Linked DNA regions of Neodiprion lecontei. The protein of the gene in region 2 interacts with the protein of the main gene of each other region in a pairwise test. Links are inferred from orthologs where the notes say so. Each region holds a gene or a part of one and is shown on either strand. Other genes may lie near its edges.

What was found. The genes of interacting proteins can lie anywhere in the genome.
Region 1: the proteins of serine/threonine-protein phosphatase 2B catalytic subunit 2 (region 2) and protein sarah interact in binary tests that used the Caenorhabditis elegans proteins (3 or more experiments, as listed by UniProt). The link is inferred for Neodiprion lecontei from reciprocal best matches to the Caenorhabditis elegans genes tax-6 and rcan-1.

What each region holds. Positions count from the first base shown.
Region 1 is NC_060266.1:20,099,914-20,107,851, reverse strand, and holds the start of protein sarah, read right to left. Parts: upstream 6,029-7,938; 5' UTR 5,758-6,028; intron 5,247-5,757; 5' UTR 5,227-5,246; coding exon 4,966-5,226; intron 4,880-4,965; coding exon 4,690-4,879; intron 3,873-4,689; coding exon 3,720-3,872; intron 3,619-3,719; coding exon 3,494-3,618; 3' UTR 1-3,493. UniProt on the Caenorhabditis elegans protein: Inhibits tax-6/calcineurin A phosphatase activity and thereby negatively regulates calcineurin-mediated functions.
Region 2 is NC_060260.1:6,043,333-6,048,113, forward strand, and holds the start of serine/threonine-protein phosphatase 2B catalytic subunit 2, read right to left. Parts: upstream 3,012-4,781; 5' UTR 2,269-3,011; coding exon of another isoform or gene 2,217-2,268; intron 1,302-2,216; exon of another isoform or gene 1,287-1,301; intron 1-1,286. Other genes in the region: glutathione S-transferase-like, read right to left, coding at 3,519-3,719, 3,792-3,934, 4,036-4,203, 4,320-4,452. UniProt on the Caenorhabditis elegans protein: Calcium-dependent, calmodulin-stimulated protein phosphatase. Dephosphorylates arrd-17. Dephosphorylates daf-16 at 'Ser-319' which regulates daf-16 nuclear translocation. Dephosphorylates calcium permeable cation channel pkd-2 at 'Ser-534'.

The DNA of each region.
Region 1 (7,938 bases), on a different chromosome or scaffold from region 2:
GGTCCGTGTATCTGGAAGTAAATAATCAACTGATTAGGAAAGAGTCACATACCATAGCAGTCCAGTTAACGTATCGTAGAATCAAATTAAACACTGCAATGTATCTAGTGGTATAATCGTTGCATACGTATCAGATTTAGGTAAGCGTCAAGTCAACGAATGAATTTTTTTCTTTTTCCCCGTTTGACTTCGTCAACGTATCGACAGCACTAGTAATTACTTATACAGAACGGAGGTTGACGGTAATCTCAGTTTTACTGTTTAAACTAAAATATTCGGACTAATTTCTAAGAACTGTTTGTTCTACGATCGACCGGGCTATTATATTTGCATAGTGTATATAAGGACATTATATTTGCTAGCCGGTTAAGTCTCAGCGACGAACGTATTGTTGTCAAATCCGAGTATCCACCTATTTTTTCTCCTATTTTCATATCTAAGTATAGGTATGTATATTGTCAGCGACATAATGACGTACAACGCTATCCAAGTTCCACCGATTTTTATTTCTTTTTTCTTTTTTTTCTTCTTTTTTACTGGAAGGTGGAATATAAAATACGATGTTAATGGTATTTTAGAGAAAATCTTTGAGTTTCATGCGTGTAAACTAGTGACGAAGAAAAAAATGTATTCTACGTAAGCTGCATCGATTCAAATCTGCATATTGTATAAAGCCTTGGTAATATTTTAAAAAATTATACCAGATTGTAAAATATAGAACTTGTGATTCCCCATGAATTGGAAGCGAAAAAAAAAATGGCATTTTTCAAGACAAACTTGTGGCATATATCACGTGGTAAATGATATTACATTTACCAAATCTTTACTCATTGAGCATACTATTGTTTGACATATCAAATGAAAATAAAAATTGCAATTCATGATAATAAAGAAAGTCCTACTTCCGTTTGAATAATAAATCGCTTCAAAACATACACAAGCACTTCTTGTAAATTCGTTCCAATCTGTGACAAAAAGGATTCATTTAACTGAAAGTAAGACTGTATGAAAATTAATAATTCCCCGAACCATATGGACTATCTCTTCAAATATAAATTGACATGTTGACGATAGATTTTACTATGCAACTATCTTATATGTATGTCATTCGGCTCAATTGCAATTCTTACATTGTTTAGAAAAGAAAAAAAAAAAAGAAAATGATTTGACACACATTTATCGCCCTTTATTATGAATATGATTTAATTATTAATTTTTCGCGCAAAATTTTTTATGCATATTTCGTATTGAAATATACAATCTTTTTACAGGAACTATAAAATTTCTTTTCTCCATCACGATATTAATCTGCGTAGCTTACAATCGTGTTCAGATATACATATGTGAGTAAAAATAATTTTTATTTTTTTTGTCAGCTCTAATTTCCAGCAGATATTAGCAGAGTTTATTTTTATCATTTATTTCATCAACAGTCAACTGTTCTAATTGCCTATTAAATACATAGTTCGATGACTGATTTCCTAACGAGTAAGCTTTTTAATATTATAGATATAATATCTGAGACCGATTTATAAATGCGGTACATATTTCTTTGTAACTATAAAATAATACAAACACAGCTGGCGGTAATCGAGAGAAAAATCTTTGTTTTTATGAACTTTATTTTCACGAATTCAATCTTAAACATTAAGAGGCCGTGTTTAGATTAATTTTTTTTCTTTTTCTTTTTTCTTTTCAACAACAATCCGTCTGAATGGATCCCTAAATATTTTAAATACAACTTAATGCATAATTGATCTTAAGTAATAACTATATGCAGAAAAAGTGACGTAATATATCAAGTATTTTAAAAGAAACGTGTTCAGTTTGATATATCATTGTATAATGATAAGCAAATGTTAAAACGAATTAATGGAAGGAACGTGTATAGAGTTGGTAAAAAAAAAATTCGACAATCAAAGATCAGATTGCTAATATAGATTTAATGAGTGTATAGGTATAGCGTAATTTGGAATTCTGTCGAATACAATATTTGAATCTCTTTTTTTTCAAGAGAAATGATTTCCACTTCTATCGCTTTATCTAAAACAAAAACATTTTCGCTAACGATACCGTGAACTTTTGCGAAATTGATTGTTTCAAACTGAACAAGTTTTTTTCGTTTCACCTGATATGTATCATGTAGATAATTGTATATATATACAATAGATTTAAAACATACAAGAAGACATTCACACACTCATTTCAACATCAAAATGCAACATCTCCAAAGTTACATTGAATACGAGGAGAAGCCACTTGGCTGTTTAAATTTTTTCGTCTATTCTCTTTGTAACTCAAGTTACAAATACCTCATAAACAAGCTCGATTTGATGACTCAACCACCGTAGTGGTGCACTTTATTAGGACAGGTATATAGACCGAAAATTCCCAATTTCTCAGCAATATAATTTGGTTTCTCACTTTGCCTTTTGAGCTGTTATCCATTTATCCAAGAAAAAGCATAGTTGAAATAGACCTAATCGGTTTCATCCACCCGCCTCTAGAGTTTTCTTATATTGGAATTACTATCCAGATTAATGACACAAAATATTTTTGAAAATTTTTTTTGTAATACCTAACTGTGAGATTTAAACACGTAGTAAGACCTGGCCTAGCTTTGCGGAACTGTTCTAAGTATGTACCTAGTAATACATATGAATTTTCTCCGAACGTTGTAATTAACGTTTAATAATTGAAATCTTCCGACTAATAATGATTATTAGAATTTCAATAGTCAACACTGAAATATAGAAAAAATTTTCGGCTTCGCGTAGCTTTTACACATTAACAAAAATAATGTTAATCGTAACAACAAATGTCATCACTGTTAATGACGTCGAGACAATTAACGATTATTATTAAAGGATTTCGGGGCGGGGGGGGCAATGCAATGCTAAGCCATATTTTGTCATGGTGCTAACTAGAACCAGTAATTTACCGTACCCTAAGTTACATGCAACTTTCGAATGATCATCCAGGTTAACTATGTTTTCGCGAAATTCGAACAGACGAAAGATCAATATTTCAGTATTTTAGATATTTCAATTCTTCCTAACCGGAAATGGAAGGAATATACTTAAAGAAATCGACAAAATACGTGCTTTCGTAACGAACAAGAAAAAAAATTTAGCATTATTATACAAATTAAATTTATGCATAATATCAATTTTCTTTAACGAGAAAGTCCTATTTTACATTACTCAAGATTTATAATAAATACTCAATGAACGACCTCATGGCAACGCATGTTTGGTGCACCATTTGAAAATTGCGATAAATAACAATTTTAAATTACCTATTTTTTCTCTTTATTTACAGATTTGTTAAAGCTTTTATTGTAAACACCATATATTATCTGTTGCAAAACATGACTTCGCTATGCGATAATTTATGATTATGAATTATCTTCTCGCCGTTTGGATGGAGTAAGCAATTCAATATCGTCTAGTGGACGATCAATAAAAATAAGAAATAAAAGTTTTACGGAAAGTTAATACTCTGGACAACGTGTGTGCTGTATACGAGGACCACTTTTCATAGGATTCGTTGTCTCACAGACGTGGACAACTATACCAGGTTGACCAGATCCGCCTGGATGGAGTTCGTGGGTCGCACCTGAAACAAATACGTTGATAAATTCAAGCCAATATAAAACATTTTATGCTGAGTAAGGAACAATGATGCTTTTCATTGTAAAGCGTAAGTAAATCTGAGACCTGGTGATAGGTTGGCAATTGCTGCGAGTAAGTCATGGTTCACGAGCGGCTCGCCTTCTTCCCGAGGCTCCCAACCAACTGGCGGTGATGCCGGAGGTGAAATTAGGAACTGTTTAGTTGGTGCTGGCGGGTGGAGATGCTGATCTTCCATATCTAAAATCGAATCATTAATTCATTATTTGCAGAAGAGTTATCAGATTTTAGAAGTCCTAACAACTCAATTTCTGGTCAAAATAGAAGCTAAAGTAAAAATTAGTTACTAAGCAAAAGACTGAATTGACAACAACTTCATCAATAATATTGGATTTAATGATTTTTAAAATTTTTAAACACTCTTTATCCAATAATTACTTGTAAAATGAAGAAGTGGACAAAATGTTGTTTCATAAATAGGCAGAGAATGTTGCATAAATATTTCAGGCTAAGTGACAGAGCAGTTAAAAATATTCTGAGACTCAAGTTTTAGTCATTAAATTTGAAAAATAAACATGTTTTTTCTCTTTACTAAATGGTCTCTGTGTTAAATAAAACTTTTTTATTATGAACCTTGTGCATAACAAATATCGCTGCAGGTGAGAAGGCATAGAAAAAAAGTTGGAAAAAAGGTTAAATATTTGATGGCACAAGGAAAGTCTTTTCCAAATACAGAAGTGTTTTCTCGGAATTGAAAAACTTGATTTCTAAATTGGTCGATGTGCTTGGGATGCTTCCTTGCTACTTCAAAAACTTTATGCAAAGAAACTCATGAATACGTCAAGCAGGATTACTGCATACTCAATTGGTTTAGGTACTAAAAGCTGTAACGCTTCTAATTTTAACCTTGTTAGTAAATTGGTTTAAAAACTTTTTGAAGCTTGTACCAAAATGCATAACGTTTTCAAGCAAAATTTGTCAAATATTACTGAGCGATTGAAATTCTGGATAAATCACATAAATAAAAAATGAGTGGATAATATTAGGAACTGTGAACCTATTGGCGTGACAGGTTGAGCAAAGTAGCAGTTGATATCCGTCTCTCCATAACGTGTTTGGTGCAGCTGTATCCTGGCATGAGCAGCGGCGCTGGGCGAACTGTAGTTGACCCTCATTCGTCTAAAAGATCTGAAGTACTGAAAAGTGGCGTTTTCTCCGAACTGTTTGAATAGTGTTTCTATGCCACTCTGTGAATAAAAAAAACAGATTTAAGTTGAGAAAACTTGAGCGATAGATCCTTGGATTTTGAAGATTTTTATCAAAGAATAGTCACCATTATCTGAGGATCTTTGAAAACTCTGGGGTCTACATTGGTGACAATTACTGAAGTTGGGAGATCTTCGTCTCTGACTAATTCGTCTATCGTTCTCATGTTCGCGTCTCCGCGATCCTGGTCAGCTTCCAATTCTAGTTCAAGCTGTTGGTAATTGGGATGCAAGTTTGGCAGGCCGTCGACCTCGTTAATTATTATATTCTCCGTATTCTCCGAGGACCCATGCTCACTATCGAGGTTCGCCTCTCGTTTATCCTCCATTTTTACCCCCTGGAGTAGAACTGTGAATGAAGAAAAGCAATCGTGACAAAAGGGGATACACCTGTACAATGTGGTACAAAATTTTCTTACGGATTCCACGCCAGTTATTTTCCAAGTGGCAAAGATTACCACTGACACAGACGAGAGGCTAGTTAGCTTGAATTTTACAGTGGCATTTTATCTATAATCTTTCATATATATAAAAGAATTCAGGTCTTAACGACAAAATTTTCAACCAGGGAATTGAACGGATGGAGAGTAAATTGAAAGAAGCTAACTGGGAAATTTTGCCCTGAATTCACGGCGACGAAACGCGGTGATGACAGATGAAAACACATTCAATGATGATTACGAGTAGAATTATTGTTGTTGCATGCGGGCTGTTTTACGATTGTTTTCGAATTTTACGAGGCGAATTATCGGGGCGATAACATCGTCGTCAATTGATATCGATCAAGATTCAAAAAATTGTTGTTAATTATCATTGTGTACAAAGAATAGTCGGATATAATTTATTTCCCTGTAATTTACCTGTCTTCAGACGTTGTGTCCGCGTAACGAATGCAGTTTCAGTCCGACTTCTCTTCTCTTTCGAGAAGAAATCACACAACAATCTGTCAATTCGTCCGAGCGAACTGCCGACCGTCTGCTAATTAACACACTGCTCGTGTTTACACGGCTGTACGAACCTCCTATTCGATTATTTCAGGACGCTTTTGCCCTTTCAAATTTGTCAATGTATTTATATTATTTTTATTGTTGTTGAATCTAGACCGATCAGCGGTAGATTACCCATTGAGCCTACAGACACGAAGGTAGCATCCTAATGTCGTATGCCAGAGTCCAGGGTTACCAGATAAGTAGTACCACAAGCCGCCACAAGAAGCGCACAGGTAGCCAAATATGGCCAATCTCCCAGCCAAATAACCCGTAGTAACAAAGAATTTTGCTACCACGCGTCTCGAATCAAAGTATTAGGGGAGACGATGACTGGATTAATGATATCGGCCCCTTATAATCTTCTTTTTTTATGTCCAGGCTCTACCCATTTCAGAACGTTCCGAAATATCGCCTGTGCGCAAACACATTTCAAAATACGCTCATTCATCCTTATCCCTATGCATATTACCGACGTACATGTTTTGTTTTTTTTTAGCTTGCAGGGTGAAAAAAGATAAGAGATCTGAAGTGTTGGCATTACGGTGCGTTCCGAACTGGCTGGCAGCGCTAAAAACTTCCTAGGACAGGGCAGAGCCTGGCAGAGCTACTCACAAACTCGGCAGCGCAGTGACCAGAAGTTGTCTGTCTTGCAGTTTTGAATCTAACGCCGGGGGCGAAAAAATTCAGTCATTTCAACTACGCCATATTTACTTTAAAATCATGTCCAATTTCATGTTCAGATATTTATATTGAGTATGTACTGACTTAAGTGATTCACATGGCGATTTTCCGTGACTAGGAAGATAATTGTGAGTGTAAATGTTCATTAATTTGATGTCCAAAATCAACTGAAAAAAATAATCTCACGATAGCCGTTGTCCGATTTTATCAACGTAAGATGGAAGTTTTATTCGAGACTTACTCAGGTTCTAAATATATTGTACAGAACAAAGATCCGAATAACATCATGGAATTTTGAAAGAAAGTTGGTAATAGCTAAAGCGCATTCAATTGGCATTCGTTATCAATTCTTTGTCAACGCCTTACTTCGTGGTCGATGTATTTTGGCGGGATTCGCGAGTTATGCAGCAAAGTTCGGGTCGTTCGGGTACAAACAACTGACAATCGGTAGAAAATTTTTCTTCTCATCTCCAGTTTAACGGACGGGTCTTGGGGTGCCGTTATCGTAAGATTGTTTTTTCTCGTTATTGAAGTGAAAGAAATATGAAAAGTAGGCGAGAATATTCTGTTTTAGATTCGAAATTTGTCGCGTGCAGTGATTTGGGTCGCAGAGATATAAATATAGCAGTCAACTGGCACCGCGAAGTCGCTTAGGCTACGAAAAATTCACACCGTCAATTTTTCTTCGTTGCGAGTTAAACTCAGGTAACATTCGAAATTATTTACGCAAGTCCGAATCCTCTGTACTCGATCTTCTAATCAAAATGTAGTCACGTTGAATCTTAGCAAGTGCAGTGCGTATTTTAGAGAACGAGTTTATTATATTTGCCGGGTGAAAAATTATCGTGGGCTCTCCATCGGTGATATTCTTTGTCGCGTGATGCAGTCATCGATTCGATTGCCATTTCAGTGATAATTCCGAGTGCAATACAAAATTTGGTGAGTGTTCTCCACAGGAATATAAAATTTATTCAGTGTTCTGCGGAGGAATATTTAATTCACGCCCGAAAGGATACACTTGAGACGGTGAGGCTGGACCGATTTTCAAGATGTAGCGTCGGTGAGTCGCATGAATTTAAAATCACTGATTATTTCCAACTGTCCACTATTTGAAAATTTTCAGTTGTACGATGACAAAAGTATTCGAAACTTACATTTGTAATTTAGTTACTAATGTCAAAGCGGCAATAGAAAAAGTTTTTAAGCGTTTCAAATGTTGGCCAAATTCAATTTGGCAACTTTTTAACTTGAGCTGGTGATTAATTTTATTGAAAAATTAACGGCTCGTTGATTTGAAATAATTTTATGGTGAACTATTCAACCGAAAAGCAAATGTCCCGATCGGTGCGTAATAAGATGATTTGAATATGT
Region 2 (4,781 bases):
ATAAACCTCAACGCATTCTTGCGTAGTCTTCGCGTTTCGAGTTAATATCCTGTACCACCTGCTGCGTACAGTATAACGAGCTATCATTCCGGATGACACGGACAGGCATATATGCATTTTTTTTCTATTACATATTTCGGGTGATTTGAATTAATTATTCTCGTGTGTTGACAGACGTTCGACGGTAAACCGGAATTATCCAGCGATCGATTAGGTGAGTGCAATTATTGATTACTTTATTTTTACGTGCGGAAAGTGAGAGGATGAGATACGAACGAGTAATAAAAAGGGGTGACAATGATGGCTGGCCAATTGTCAGCTAATTAGTTACAATAGGGTATAAATATAGCAGCCTTGTATAAATTTTGTTGGTGCTAAATTTTTTCGTGTCTTTCGGTGAGGCGTGGCGATGGACGATGGCGACCGAAGTGCGGTTTTCAAGCTTCTTTCGTCAATTTGGCCTTTTGACGCATTACGTTAAACGTCGCGGCCGCCGGCCGGTCGAATTGAACAATATGTCTTGAAAATATGCTCGTCCGTTATACCTGTGTATGTACCGTTGCACGCTATTGACTCTTGTAATTATTCTTATTTTCAAAAGCCTACTCCTTGTAAACGACGTTATAGAATTGTGCAATAATAAATTTTTTCCTGATGTTCCGTTACGTTAACGTTGCTAACCTTAGCCTCATTAAGGATAGCTAAGCTAAAATTACAATACAACTTAGAATTGAAAACTGGTCGAGTACCGTTGGCATTAAACAGGTTTTTGAGTGATAAATGACTACCCGAGTCTTGGATTAAATGCCCATAGTCGAAAAATAACATCGCACACAGTTTTTAATAATGTAACATGCAAGAGGCGGCGAATAGTTGTTGGAATATTGCGATCGCATCGTTGGGACTAATTTCGCGTGTGAGAAGTGTTTAAAAAGTATTCAATTATTCACCAACAGGTTAATTTAATATCACTTATTGTATTAAACCTGATAAGAATAAGTGAAAAAAAAAAGTTTTCAAATTATTTAAAACAAGATGAGTTTAACGAGTTCCACAGTTGGTAAAAATAAAACCCTATTTGTATAACAGCTGTGCTGCAACGAAATATTTTCAAACAATTACGATATGATGGGGAAAAAAAGTGCAAATGAAAATTGAAGATCCGGCGAAGATAAGAATAATCATTTGCGTATAAAACTTCAGAGCGAAGACACGGTGGTTCCGCAATCGGTATAATCACTTCTGGAGCTCGGGTAAAATATCCTTTTCATTAAAATCACACGTACGTTTTGATCGAGGTCAGTATTCTCATCGCTTGATTGAGATTACTTTTCCACGTAGCCATTAGGAAATTGAGATATCAGCTGATGAGGAATCGACCGACGTTCCAGTTTGACAGGTAAATTGCGATGATGCGGCGTTGGCGATTTTCAGATCGGAAAGAGAGCATTTCGTTGATCGGTAAAGACAGAGTCGGTTCCTCGTTGAGATTGTTCGCCAGAATCTCCTCGCGAACCATCGATAAACGTAACAATGAAAAATTGTAAAATTTTAGCGATGAGTGTTGCATAACATCAACGAGAGGTGGCGACAAACTGAGAGAGAGATCCTACTTCGACGGCAGAGGGGAAAAGAATGAAAGAGCCGAGATTTCGAGGGTAACGTGTGGAACCGGGCTAAGGAATGAAATTTGACAGACGAAAGGGAGCGACGTCGTCGACTTGCGTCCGGTGTCGGGGAAAAGGAGGGTGGACGAGCGAAATGGTGGGTGGGAGGGAGGGAGGGATACGAGGGGCGAGGATGACAGAGGGACCTGTAACCCCGAGGGCGAAGGGATCTGCGGCGAATTGGGAGCAGCGTTTAAAGATAAACAATCTACTCATCCACCCGCACGGAGAGCGAGCGAACGAGTAAAAAGTTGGAAGCAAACTGGCGGAGGGTAGGTCGATAGCAATGGCGCCGGCGAGTGGCCAGAAAATCAATCCGTCGCTCTCTCTAGGAGACGGCTCTCTGTGTTTTCGCTTACCCTGCGGACGGTGTTTTCCTTGGCTTTTCCGCGCCCCGTTTTCCGGGGCTGGGGCAAGGGAAGAGGGGGGGGGGGGGGGGGGGGATTAAAAATCGGTAGGTGGTTATTAGGGAGCTCGGGATGCGGGGAGAGTGTAAAAATTTGACCCAATTGGCAAAATGTAGCCTTATCAAACTCTCGGGAAACTTACTTTTAATCACGCGTTCCGTCGTCGACAGCTTCTGGGAATTATTTGACGACATCCTGGCTCGCGGTCGCGGGGGATCGCGCGACACTCACGATCGGTCGGTTGAGATACCGCTGATTTACAATTCTTTTTATTCTTTTCGGTTTCTACGACGATTCCGTGACGATCGCCTCGCCGTGGTTTTTTGTCTCCTCCTTTTTCTCCTTCCTCTTCTTCCTTTTTCCGTTTTCCTTTGGTGGGGGTGGAGGGGAGGGAGGGGAGGGGGAAGTGGGTACGGAATACAATAATAATTACACGTCACACATCAGAGGGCATGAATTATCTCTTCTTCGCGACAATCGACGCGCACCCACGCACTTGTAACAGACGTAATTTTTTTTCGTAAAAATAAATATGCGTTATACTCCGCCAAAGGGATAGCGTACGGATTATCCTTTATTATCGGTTGTCGCTGGTTTATCTATTCGTTTGTTGTGTTTGTTTTATCCTTATTGTTTTTTCGTGGTATGTCGTTTTCTTTTTTTGTTTCTTTTTTTTTTTTCTCTCCTCAGTTTTATTTCACCGTCGTTCCCGTCTCGTTTTTATTTTCTTATTTATTATAATACAATCGCCACGGCCGACACGGACACGGACACGACACACTACACGGCGCGGTAACCAGCAAGCGCGGTGCTAAAATTCTACTACAAGATGTCTGTCTCGGTCACGGCACGCACTGTCGTTCCGCGGCCAAACTACGGCGCAACTTTAGGGCGCAGCTCGGAGGCGCACCGATTATTCGAGGACGAGAGGTTCGCCTATATTCTCTCGTCGACTCGGCTCTTCTCGCCGGCACCAAATACGCAGCTGCGGTTCTCCACCCTGACCAATCGGCATTCCGACGCTTGGCGGCATCTCGCGTCTCAACCACCCACGAACAATATCGCGGAACGACCTCTGGACGACGCTGGCGCAATTCGCCGCCTTTCATTTTCATTTTCAAACGTTGTTAAAGACCTCCGCTGCACTCCTGCCGCAGCCGCCGCGGTCGATAACGGCTATCAACCTTCGGATGCACGTTACATATCTACGACAAGTTCGAGCAACGAAAGCTGGAAACTCGATGTAATCGGGGAATGGTAACCGTCGTTTGAACACTACCTTCGATCGGTGTTGGAATACAAAAACACTTTTTATTTAATGCGAAGAGAACAAGTTACATAGGATTTCTGTCTTGTGAATTCATTTCAAAAAATCACGCCAGGTGGTGTAAGATTGATCTTACATCGTGAATTAATGATAATTACACCGCGCAGAAGCGTTCGATCAGTCCTGTTGCTTGGCGTCCAAGAATTCTTGTATGCAGCATTCGGTTGGCCGAGTATCGAGCCATTTCTTTATGTTGGGAATCGCGTTGATCTTGTTCGCATGCTCTGTCAGAGCAGCGTGATTCTTCAGAGTGTCGAATCCAATGACAAAGTCGAGGTATGGCTTCAGCGAAACGAACCACAGGTCGGCCCAAGTCAGCTGAGTGAAATTCGGGAACATTGAAATCAGCTCAAATGTACAGGCAAAGTTGCGATCCGAATTTTGTCATACCTTTCCACCGACGAAGTAGCCGCCATTTGCTTTCACCCGATCTTCAAACCTGTTCAAATAGAATGGAAGTTTTTCCTGCACAAGCTGTTCCTTCCTTTTGGATTTCGCGGTCTTGTTCGCCTCCCACAAGTACTGACTGAACACTAAAAAAGCAGAATTTTTCCAATCAAATATCAAAATGAATTTTACCGAGTTCCCGTTACCAAGATTCCATGCGTGAAGTTGACGTCGATCGTTGTCTTACCACTTCTGTAATCGTTGATCGTGTCTACCATGGAGTCGATTTCCAAATCTTCCAGTTTGTTACTACCGGTCAAGTTGAACTCTTTGGCCAAGTATCTGCCGATCGCCAAGCTCTGGTTGTAAACCTTCCCGTCGATTTCCAATAACGGCAACACTCCGTAGGGTGTCTCTTATTCATGCGGATACAAGAAAGTAAAGGAATGAATAAATTAGAGGGAACGGGATACGAAGCTCGGTGGAAAACCGGCAAGCGTGTCCCATGAATTTTCAAGAAAACAATCTTACCGCGTTGGAACTTCGGCCAAGTCGTAATATCGTGTCTCACATCTTCAAAATCCTGATCTGCATAGCTGAATAGATATCGCGCAAGTTCAGCTATTCCCGTCGTCTTGAAATAGATCAGTTTGTACTGGGGCATTTTTGTATTCTTATCAGATGTAAGATTAAAGTACCGTAGGTAACGAAATTTTCGTATCACCAAACGCACGAGCCCTGCACACACCCAACCCTCGACTCTGTTGATTCGGAACAAACTGAACTTGGGTCCTATCCTCAAAGCTGACGATGAGTCGTAACGAACCAGTCGCGAAGACTACGCACCCGACTGGCAGCCAATGGGGAGCCTCTTTAGATCCTTGATGAGACGTTTGAGGAAAGTCGGGAGGTTACTATGCTGCTAACAACGCGGCCCATCGTAAAACTGTGTGTCCTTTGTGCGACTCGGCTGTGTGACTGCCGTTGCAAGTT